2 linked regions of the Sus scrofa genome follow. The protein of the gene in region 2 binds, or shares a complex with, the protein of the main gene of each other region. Links are inferred from orthologs where the notes say so. Each region holds a gene or a part of one and is shown on either strand. Other genes may lie near its edges.

The links.
Region 1: the proteins of PLOD3 (region 2) and COLGALT1 are in contact, whole or in part, in a cryo-EM structure (PDB 8ZGE), measured with the Homo sapiens proteins. The link is inferred for Sus scrofa from reciprocal best matches to the Homo sapiens genes PLOD3 and COLGALT1. Residues at the interface, in NP_001075.1 of Homo sapiens: Leu226, Val229, Val230, Leu231, Lys232, Phe233, Asp234, Arg235, Arg241, Gln261, Tyr264, Leu265, Pro275, Gly430, Ala431, Leu432, Arg440, Glu442, Glu446, Arg452; in NP_078932.2 of Homo sapiens: Ala36, Tyr37, Phe38, Pro39, Glu40, Glu41, Arg42, Trp43.

The regions. Positions count from the first base shown.
Region 1 is NC_010444.4:60,148,109-60,154,411, reverse strand, and holds part of COLGALT1 (procollagen galactosyltransferase 1), read left to right. Parts: intron 1-1,763; coding exon 1,764-1,898; intron 1,899-2,801; coding exon 2,802-3,006; intron 3,007-5,229; coding exon 5,230-5,349; intron 5,350-6,303. UniProt on the Homo sapiens protein: Beta-galactosyltransferase that transfers beta-galactose to hydroxylysine residues of type I collagen. By acting on collagen glycosylation, facilitates the formation of collagen triple helix. Also involved in the biosynthesis of collagen type IV.
Region 2 is NC_010445.4:8,909,870-8,914,966, reverse strand, and holds the end of PLOD3 (procollagen-lysine,2-oxoglutarate 5-dioxygenase 3), read left to right. Parts: intron 1-41; coding exon 42-167; intron 168-467; coding exon 468-813; intron 814-992; coding exon 993-1,061; intron 1,062-1,528; coding exon 1,529-1,633; intron 1,634-2,147; coding exon 2,148-2,294; intron 2,295-2,517; coding exon 2,518-2,643; intron 2,644-2,748; coding exon 2,749-2,904; 3' UTR 2,905-3,180; downstream 3,181-5,097. UniProt on the Homo sapiens protein: Multifunctional enzyme that catalyzes a series of essential post-translational modifications on Lys residues in procollagen. Plays a redundant role in catalyzing the formation of hydroxylysine residues in -Xaa-Lys-Gly- sequences in collagens.

The DNA.
Region 1 (6,303 bases), on a different chromosome or scaffold from region 2:
ATATATGCCAAAGTCTCGAATTCAAATGTCCGCAGGGGCTGGGCGGGGAACATAACACGAGCACAGCTTGTCCCAAGGGGCAGCCACCTCCTGCCTCCCAGTTGGGGCTTGCCGTATGGGAGTGCCATTCCCATGTTATTGGAGAAGGCTGCAGTTGTGGATTTTGCCGTTGTTTATGGCAGGTGATTCAGATGTTCTAAAAACCCTGCATGGGAAACAGAAAACATACTTGTGAACCAGATGCCTTATTATTATTATTTTTTTTTCCTTAGAGCTGCACCCACAGTATATGGAGGTTCCCAGGCTAGGAGTTGAATCAGAGCTGCAGCTGCCAGCCTACACCACAGCCACAGCCACGCAGGATCCAAGCCGTGTCTGCAACCTACATCACAGCTCATGGCATCGCCAGATCCTTAACCCACTGAGTGAGGCCAGGGATTGAACCCACAATCTCATGGTTCCTAGTTGGATTCGTTTCTGCTGCGCCATGACGGGAACTCCCCCAGATGCTTTAAAAAAAAAAAAATCTCCACCTTCCAATAGTTCTGTAATATTTTGTGCCCTGGAGTTCCCTGGTGGCTCAGCAGGTTAAGGATCTAGCATTTTCATTGCTGTGGCTCGGGTCACTGCTATGGTATGGGTTCGATCCCTAGCCAGGGAATTTCTGCATGCTGTAGGCACAGCCAACCTCACTGTTTTCCCATCCTGGTCTGGTGGACAGGAACATCCTTACCTAATCATTTTCTGTAGCTTGGTCCCCCTCCCTCCCTCTCTCTCCCTCCCTTCTCTCCTTCCTTCTTTCCTTCCTCCGCACCTGCAGCATATGGAAATTCCCAGGCTAGGGGTCGGATTGGAGCTGCAGCTGCCAGCCTATACCACAGCCACAGCCACACCAGATCTGAACCACATCTGTGACCTATGCTGCAGCTTGCAGCAACACCACATCCTTAACCCACTGAACAAAGCCAGGGATCAAACCCGCATCCTCATGGACATTATGTCAGTGGGAACTCCTGTGGTGGCTTGATTTTTGATTGTCATGCCTCTTTCTACAGTGGGACAGGGAGACAGGACCAAAATTTCTGTAGCTGATTCTCCACTGCTAGACTCCAGGGCTGTTCTCAGTTTGTATGATGAACAACCCTGCCATGAATATCATGATGTGGGCCTTCTGGAAGGTGTAGGTGACATAAGATTTAGGGGGGACCAACAGGCACCCTTCACTATGGTGACCCTGTTCATGGGTTGGTGAATTTTGTTCCAGGCTGCAGCAAACAAGTTATCATCTTTTTACCCTAACATTCCAGAGGTTAAGGGTGGGGTGGGGGAAAAGCCTTATATAAAGAACGTATTTTTAGAACTTTTTATTGGCATTTAAGTAACAGAAAAAAATGTGTGGCCACTCTCGCAGGGGTGGCCTCTGCCCCACCATCCTCCTCATCAACCAGCACTGCCCATCTTAAAAGTTCTACCCACTGTCACTTTTGGTGTCTCGTCAGCACTGTGTCTGTGGGACATTTGTATTGCTTTATGCTGTGTGGTCTGTCCCTTGCTGTTTAGTATATTTCATTGTGTGAATTGACTTGGCTGGTAGCTAAAGGCAGAGCTGTCCGTTGAGAAGCCAGGTGGCTTCCAGGATCACATGTGTTATTCCAGGTTCCCCAGACCCCCAGGACTCTAGCCTCTGCCCCAGCTGTTCCAAGACGTGGCCTAGCCAGGTCATTTGGGCAGCCGATGCTGATGCCATGTTGGGTGTTTTGCAGTTTGTAGATGCAGACAACCTGATCCTCAACCCTGACACGCTGAGCCTGCTCATTGCTGAGAACAAGACGGTGGTGGCCCCCATGCTGGATTCCCGGGCCGCGTACTCCAACTTCTGGTGTGGGATGACTTCCCAGGTCAGGGGGCTGCTAGGGTAGAGCAGGGGCCTGGGGGTGATGGGGGCTGGGCTGAGCAAGTGGAGGCTGGGTTTGAAATCTAACTTATCATTACACTGCCTCATGGTGAACATTTAATAAACACCATAGTGGTAATCCTTAAAGAGCCCCTTGAGGGAAGGTCTGTGGTTATGTCTTGTTCCCTCCTAATCCCCACTACCCCTATCACTGAGGCAGAAACTCAAACACAGAGAGAGAAAGTGACTTGCCTCGGCTCACATGGCTGTGAAGTGGTGGTACCAGGATGGGACTTCAGGCATGGCTTGATCCAGGTGTTCAAACAGTATTCCTCTTCCTCCGTCCCTTGGGTGGTTTCATTTTCAGACTCCTGGGGAGTGATCCCAGGATCATTTAGCCAAAGTCCACTCTGATCCTTGTCCAGTCTCCTCCTACTCTGGAAATTACTGAAACCTGGAAGATGCCAGGCTCTGATTGTCCCACCCCAGGGTTGAAGATGGGGTTGTAGGCAAAGCCAAGGGGAGTGAGGGCCAGGTGCTGGAGCAGGGCCCTGCCAAGGAAGGGAATCAGGTGGCTAGAGCCAGGATGCTGATCCATCTTGTCCCCTCCTATCTTTTTGTTTTGAATTGATGTGTAATGTGCAAAATCCTTGCTGATCAGAAATGGTGAGCTGGGTTCTGCAAGTGAGTGACCCTTTCCCTGTGTTTCTCTGCCATTGCCCAGCACCTGAGGCTCTGGGGTTGTAGATTGACTGGCTCTGCCCAGAGCCCTGTGCTCAGGAAATGCCCACTGCAGCCAGAAGCTGGCACCCGGTCTTACTCTCCAAGTGTTCCATGCCTCCCATTGCCTCAGGCCCCAGCCTTACCCTTGGGGACCCCCAGACAGAACTCTGCCCCTTCCCCACAGGGCTACTACAAGCGCACGCCTGCCTACATCCCCATCCGCAAGCGGGACCGCCAGGGCTGCTTTGCAGTCCCCATGGTGCACTCGACCTTCCTGATCGACCTGCGGAAGGCGGCATCCAGGAACTTGGCGTTCTACCCTCCCCACCCTGACTACACCTGGTCCTTCGATGACATCATTGTTTTTGCCTTCTCCTGCAAGCAGGCAGGTGAGCTCACGGGGGGTTCGCCATCACGAGTTGTCTCTCTGGTTCTCTGCGACCAGTGCTGAGTCCATGAACTGTTCACAGAACCAGAACTGCAGGGTGTGGGGATGACCTCAGGTGTAGCTGTATCCAGGTGTTCAGATGATGGCCCCAGGGTTCATTCTCTCTCTGGCCCTGGCTTTGCCGGATGGCTTCACTTTCTAGGTCTCTGGGACCTACTTACTGAAGGTTATTTCTGTCTCAGTATTTTTCCCATTATCTGTAGCTGAGCGTAATAATTCCCTAATTGTATAATTAGAGGGGGAAAAAGTTTAAAGAGAAACACAACCATGACACATAAAGACAGCATAAACACAGCCATATGCAGATCTATCACTTATTTTAAACCATGGGTCAGCAAACTATGGCCCATGGGCCAAATCTCACCCACCATCTCTTTTCCTATGGCCTCAAGCTAAGACTGTCTTTTGGGTTCCTAGACCCAATACTAAATTCCTATGTGTATGCGTAGAGGTAGGGGTTCCTCACGCCAGCCAGCAATGCTGGGAGCCATTTAAACTCATTCTGACCCTGCCTGGAGGTAGCATCAGATTCCACAGGTTAAAGGCTCAGTCCCCACAAACTGTCCTCCCACTCAGCTTCAGCTGCTGGTCACAAACCCAGCTTGTCATCTGTGCTTCCGACCAAATGGCTATAAATCAGAGGTTCCCTCGACCCTTTTCTTGGGTTCTGCTCATTTGCAAGAGCAGCTCTTAGAACTTGGGAAACCCATTTACTTGTGGGATTACTGTTTTTTATAAAAAGATATAAAACTCAGGAACAGCCCAAGGGGAGAGATGCACAGGGTAAGGTGTGCGGGAAGGGGGCTTCCATGCTCTCTCTGGGTGCACCGTCCCCCTCTCACCACCTCCACATGGTCACCGACCCAGAAGTTCTCCAAACCTCGTCCTTTGGGGTTTTTATGGAAGCTTCCTGACATCAGTACAGTTGATTAAATCATTTCCCTTTAGTGACTGATTCTGCCTCCAGCCCTCTCCCCACCTGGGGGTGGGACTGAAATTTCCAATCTCTAATCTCATAGTCAGGTCCCCTGGCAACCAACCCCCAGGTTTAGGTGTGTTCCAAAAGTCACCTTGCTAACATGACATGAGAAGCACCTTTTAGCTCTTACCATGTAGGAAATTCCAAGGATTTGGGGAGCTGTGAGCCAGGAACTGCAGACAAAGACCAAATATATATATGAAAAATCACAGCATCACAGAATGGTATTTTATGTTTTTAAATGGCTGGAGAAGACAAAAAGAAGCATGGTATTTTGTGACATCTGAAAAATGATAACGAAATTCACATCTCCGTGCCCATGAATGCAGTTTCATCGGCACTCAGCCACACCCATTAGGTATTGCTTCTGGCGGCTTTCATGTTCCACAAGCAGAACTGAGTCACTGAGACCAGAACTGGCCCACAAGCCTAAAGATTTACCATCTGGCCCTTTAGTGAAAATCACTTTCAGTGGGTTTTTTTCACTTAAAAAAAGAGATAACATCCTCATTATAAAATTTTAAACTTTGGAGTTCCCATCGTGGCTCAGTGGTTAACGAATCCGACTAGGAACCACGAGGTTTTGGGTTCGATCCCTGGGCTTGCTCAGTGGGTTAAGGATCTGGCGTGGCCGTGAGCTGTGGTGTAGGTTGCAGACCCGGCTCGGGTCTGGCATTGCTGTGGCTCTGGTGTAGGCCGGCGGCTACAGCTCTGATTAGACCCCTAGCCTGGGACCCTCCGTATGCCATGGGAGCGGCCCCAGAAAAGGCAAAAAGACACAAACAAACAAAATTTTAAACTGTTCAGAAAAGGACACAGGTAACATTACTAATGGTTGGTCCAGTTGCGTCTCCTTTGTGTGCAAAAATGCCTTTACTGTACACCAGCTGTTTTGCACTTTGCTTTGTCTTAGACTCCTATAGGGGTTAAGCCAGCACTGGTGCAAAGTGCTTATTAACACTCAGAGTTTTGGGTCTACGTGCTTGGCACCGTGAACCCCTGTTCTGGCTCCAGGTCCCAGACGGAGCGCCGAGCAGTCTCTGCCGGTTGCTGGGAGGAGGTGAACCCGTTTACGCGCCAGCCCGGTGCTGGGCTCTGGGACTAATGCTGCTGTTCAGAGGCTAACACCTCTGCTGCCTTATTGCTCCATTTTCACTTCTGCTCCTTGTTTCTTTTTGGCCACAGAAGTCCAGATGTATGTCTGCAACAAGGAGGTATACGGCTTCCTGCCGGTGCCACTGCGGTCACACAGCAGCCTCCAGGACGAGGCTGAGAGCTTCATGCACGTGCAGCTGGAGGTCATGGGTGAGTCTGGCCATGCCACCCTGGGAGGGCTGAGTCGCCTCCCTCTCCCCGCCATCTCGCATCTATCTGTAACACTGACTGAGTGCCTGCCGCGTGCCACTCTCTTCACTGGGCACTGGGAACCTGAGGTGAACAGGTGGACAGTTGTCCCTGCTCTCACAGAGCACCAGCTTGCAAACAGCTGTGCACATCATACTTGAGGAAATCAGAGTGGGCTTTCTGGTAAAGGTGGCATTAAGATGCAGGGTGGGAGTTCCTATCGTGGCTTAGCAGGTGGGGCATCTGTGGTTGTCTCTGTGAGGCTGCAGGTTCGATCCCTGGCCTCACTCAGTGGGTTAAGGATCCAGCGTTGCTGCAAGTTGCAGTGTAGGTCACAGATGTGGCTCGGATCTGATGTGGATGTGGCGTAGGCTGGCAGCTGTAACTCATATTCAACCCTAGCCTGGGAAAGTCCATATGCTGCAGGTGAGGCCGTAAAAAGAAAAGGAAAAAAAAACTTGCAGGCTGAGAAGGAGTTAGCAGGAAAGAGGATTGCAGTTGGAGGGCGAAGCATGTGCAAAGGTCGGGAGGCCGGAGGAGCTGTGAGCTCAGGAAACAGGCGGGGCTGGTAAGTTGGGCAGGGTGGCAGGCAGGGCCAGGGCAGAGGCCTCAGGCATTGGGCGGAGGGGCAGGCCTTTTCCCCAGGGAGCCATCAGGAGTTGTGGAGGGTGTGGGAGCAGGGAGGACAGCAGGTTTTGCCAATGACCCTTCCTGTGTGTGGCAGCATCAGGACATAGGCCTTTCTGGCCATTTCGTCATCCTTGCCCCTGCCAAGCCCCAGGCCCACTATTGTTTGTTTAATATTTATCTTAAGCAGACACTTTTTTTTTTTAACCTGAAGATGTTCGTGTTCAAAAAGAAATTATAAATTTTTACTGTGGTTGCAAGCTCATGTCTTTCTAATACATACACAGA
Region 2 (5,097 bases):
GGGCTCCCCTCCACCTAGCCCTCACCGCTGCCCATCCACAGGAAGGTGATAGCACCCATGCTGTCCCGCCACGGGAAACTGTGGTCCAACTTCTGGGGAGCCCTGAGCCCTGACGAGTACTACGCGCGCTCAGAGGACTACGTGGAGCTGGTGCAGCGCAAGCGAGTGTGAGTCCGGCCTGGGCTGCGGCCCGCCCCTCCTCTGACCTGGGCCCGCACAGACCTCCACATCCTGGCCCAAAGCCCTAGTCTTGGGGATCCCACCTGGCCACCAGGAAGACGTGCTGGGGCTGTGGGGAAGAGACTGACCATGCTGCGGGACCTGAGGGGGTTGCGGTCAGCAGGGCTTGATGGGGGACATGCGGGGGACCTCACAGCTCGCAGCTCCCAAGGGAAGGGGCTCCCGGGATTGTGCGCGGGGTTGTGGGAGGCCACCCACCTGGCTGACCCTGGTGTGGGGGCCTCCAGGGGCGTGTGGAACGTGCCCTACATATCGCAGGCCTACGTGATCCGGGGGGAGACCCTGAGGACAGAGCTGCCCCAGAGGGAGGTGTTCTCGGGCAGCGACACTGACCCGGACATGGCCTTCTGCAAGAGCGTGCGGGACAAGGTGAGCGGGACCTGGGGCTCAATGCGGGGGTGCTGGGAGGCAGCCCCCTCAATCTCTGTCACCCTTCTCACACCCTCCCCCCTCACCCAGGGCATCTTCCTCCACCTCAGCAATCGGCACGAATTTGGCCGCCTCCTGGCCACTTCCCGGTACGACACAGACCACCTGCACCCCGACCTCTGGCAGATCTTCGACAACCCCCTGGTGAGTAGGCAGCCCTGGCACAGAAGGCAGGTGCCCTTCGCCAAAGGCTGACGCCCCATCCCCAGCCCACACATGTGTGCGCTGTGTGGGGCCTCCTGCCTGGAGAGGGGCTCCCTGGGGGCGCCGAGGGAGTAAAGAGGGCACAGGTGGTCAAGGTGCGCCCCCTCTCGCTCCCCCAGGACTGGAAAGAGCAGTATATTCACGAGAACTACAGCCGGGCCCTTGAAGGAGAGGGACTCGTGGAACAGGTGAGCCCCACTCAGACCCTGACCCTGCTGGCCATTGCCCCTTGAGTCCACCGCCTGGGTTAGTGCTTCTCCGATGCCTTCCCAGCTGCCTTAGGTCTTCAGCTCGGGTAAGATGAGGGCAAAGGCTGAGCAAATAAGCCTGCAGCCCCCACCCTGGTTTTAATCAGAGCAGTCCTCTCTTGTCTATGGGTATATTCATGTATGGGTGAAATGACATTTTTTTACAGCAAGTTTGAAAACGATGCTTCCGGCAGGGAGCCCTGGGACTCCCGTGCCATTTGTGCAGTGTTTCCAGCACTGGGCCCACCTTCTCTGGCCACCCTCTCCTGGTCCAGCCCCATTCCTCCACATTCTCTCATGGCCTGGTTTCCCTTTCTGCTCCCTGCTTCTTCTCCCTTCCACTGGCTGCCTATCCGCTCCCCGAGCGTCACCCTGCCCTGTTCTTCCCCCGCCCCGTCTGTCCTCAGCCCTGCCCAGATGTGTACTGGTTCCCTCTGCTGTCGGAGCAAATGTGTGATGAGCTGGTGGAAGAAATGGAGCATTACGGCCAGTGGTCAGGAGGCCGGCATGAGGTGGGGTGCTGGGGCAGGGGAGCAGGAGGGCCCCTGGGAGGAAGAAGAGGCTGGGGCTGGTGAAAGGAAAATGAAATTTAGAGAGTGGGAGCAGAAAGGGGTCCCCAAGTGGAAGGGGCACAACTGTATTCATTCATTCATTCAAGAAATGCTAGGTGGGTCCTAGATGCCAGCCACTGACTTTGGCAGTGCAGTGCGTTGATGAATTGTACGGGTCGAGCCCTGCTCTCCTAGGTCTCACCTGCTGTCAGTAGCAGCAGTGACCCAGCTTCTAAAGGCTGTGCTGGGCAGCCCAGGTGCTGTGGGAGTCACAGGAGGGGCCCATGCCCCAGACATGGGGGGACCAAGGGGCTTCACAGAAGAGGTGGCATCTTACCTGAGACTCAGAGGCCCAGCAGGAGTGAGTCAAGCTAAGGAGTCAAGACTTCCAGATGGAGGGAACATAAGCTTTAAGGCCTGGGAGCAGATGAGGAAGCTGGCACTGCCCTGTCAGCTTAGTGCCCACTGCCCGCAGGATTCAAGGCTGGCTGGAGGCTACGAGAATGTGCCCACCGTAGACATCCACATGAAGCAGGTGGGCTATGAGGACCAGTGGCTGCAGCTGCTGAGGACATATGTGGGGCCCATGACCGAGAGCCTGTTCCCAGGCTACCACACCAAGGTGACCGCTGAACCTGCTACCCTGACTCCACCTTCCTAGAACCCGGCTGGCCGTCTCCATGCAGCACCCTTTTGGGTTCCTGAGGCATTTGGGACCCCATGGAGTGAAATCCTGCAGGAAGGCAGCCCCCCTGGGGGGGGGTAGCATGAGAGCCCCTGCCACCTCTCCCCCTCCCCAGACCTCAGGACCCCCACCTCCAGCCTCTCCTCCCATGTCCCCACAGACCCGGGCGGTCATGAACTTCGTGGTCCGCTACCGGCCGGATGAGCAGCCCTCTCTGCGGCCCCATCACGACTCATCCACCTTCACCCTCAACGTTGCCCTCAACCACAAGGGCCTGGATTATGAGGTGGGTCCCTGCCACGCTCCACTTCAGGGTGCCACCAGGGTGCCTGGCTGCCGCCCAGTCCCCGCACCTGTTCACACTCCACCCCGTCCCCTTCTCATCCTCCAGGGAGGCGGCTGCCGTTTCTTGCGCTACGACTGTGTGATCTCGTCCCCACGGAAGGGCTGGGGGCTCCTGCACCCTGGCCGTCTCACCCACTACCATGAGGGGCTGCCCACCACACGGGGCACTCGCTATATCATGGTGTCCTTTGTCGACCCCTGACACTCAACCACTCTGCCCAACCTTCCCTGCCATTGTGCCTTCTCGCGCTCCCTCCTTGGAGGGGGTGTGCCCTGCCTCTCGGGCGCATGTTCCGTGTGTCTGGGACTGAATGTGTTGCCCCGCCCCCACCACACGGCCCTCGGCCCTCGGGAAGCTCAGGAAGCCCCCTTGCCCTGCTCCTCAGCCCCCAAGCATTCCCAGGGAGAGGGCTTCTAGGGGTTCGCCATGTAATAAGTTATTGTTTCTCAGTCTCCCTCAATAAAGGAGGATTTGTAACTCTCGCGTCCATTGATTCTTTGATCTACCTCTGGACCCCATGTCCCTCCCGCCACCCAGAGTGAAGGGGAGACCGGGGTCACTCCAAAGGAAAAGAACAGAAAAGACGAAAAGGCAGAAGCATGATGCCAAAGCAGAGTGGGAGCCTGGAAGCTTCCTGCGACCCCATATCTAACTCCCTGTCATCGCCTGAGCATGAGGGCCAGACCAAAAGGGCCTCCCTTGTCTGGCTCAGGTGAAAACCCACCTCCTCAGCTCTCTTCTTCTATTCTCTCCTCTCCTGATGGCATCTTCTCCCTCGTGTGAAGGCTGGGGGTGGCACAGACCTGAGCTGGGCTGCAGGGACAGTGCTAGGGAAGGAAGGCCCTCCTGGGGGCAGGTGTTCTATAAGGGAAGACAGGCTGGAACCTGACGGTAGCTGCTTTGGATCAGAAGGGAATCGGGAAGATTAACCCAAGAAAGCTTCCTGGAAGAGAGGGATGGGAAGCAGCCTTGAAAAAGAGGAGACCTCCTGGAGCTGGCCTTGCTTCCAACCCCAAGGGGACCATCAGCCCCTGCCGAGACCCCTGGAAGTGCCTTGACAGTAGACCAGGCCCCTTAACCTGGTCTTTCCCAGCCTCACACCAGCCACCTTCCTGAATTTATCTCCCCATGTTCCCTTACAGAAGCCTTTAAAAAACAAACAGGTCTGCTCACCTGTCCTAGGACATTTCCTGGCTCTGGTACCCCACTGCACCCCCAGCTAGATTCCCCTTCTTCCTTCCTCCTGCCCAGACTCCCAGGAAAATGTCCTCCAAGAAGCCTTCCTTCCAGTGGGTGGTGCTGGCTGCCAGGGAGGGTGGAGTGGGTCTTTTCCACATGGACTGAGCATCTCTCTGCCCAGACTCCAAAGTCTATCTCACCCTGGCCCCCTGCCACCCTCATCACATGTCCTGTGGGTGGAAATGGACTGAGCAGGGACAGGAGAAAATACCTCTTGGCAAAAGTTTCCTGGACAGGGAAGCTGCATGCAAGACAGGGGACAGGGACAGAAAGGGAGTGCCAGCCTTGAGCGGTAAGTCCTGGGCACTGGAAGCTGGCCTATCCTGTCTCCCACAGACCCACTGTTCATTCATGGAGCATCACCCAAGTGCTGGGGACCCATCACAAGGGCTGCAGTGCTGACCACAATATTCTCTACCTGTTGCTTACAGCGTGGGGAGACCTTAATCAGAAAGCCGCTGCAGAGTTCCCATGATGGCTCAGTGGAAACAAATCTCATGAGCACCCATGAGTGCGCAGGTTCGATCCCTGGCCTCGCTCAGCAGGTCAAGAATCCAGTGTTGCTCTGAGCTGTGATGTAGGCCAGTGGCTACAGCTCCAATTCAACCCCTGGCCTGGGAACCTCCATTTGCCACAGGTGTGGCCCTGAAATGCCAAAATAAATGAAAGAAAAAAAGAAGGAAAGTCACTTTGATGGAGGGAAAGTATTTTGTGCCAGGAGAGAATGTGACAGAGGCTCCTGACTAGTGTGTATCTGATTTCCCTAAAGAAACGTTGTTCCTTAGATATGCAATGGCTCAGCCATGACAGAGAATGAAATAATGCCATTTGCAGCAACGTGGATGGACCTAGAGATGAATGTACTAAGTGAAGTAAGCCGGAGACAAAATGCCTCATGATATCACTCATATGTGGAATCTAAATGATGATACAAAGGAAGTTAAATTTACAAAACAGAAACAGACTCACAGACATAGAAAACACACAGTTATCAGGAGTTCTCATGTGGTGCAGCAGGTTAAGGATCTGGTGGTGTCACTGAAGCAGCTTGGGTTGCTGCCATGACTGGGTTTGATCCCTGGCTCCGGAACTTCCGCATGCCACAGGCATAGCCCTCAAAATATATATTAAGAAAAGGAGTTTCTGCTATGGCAC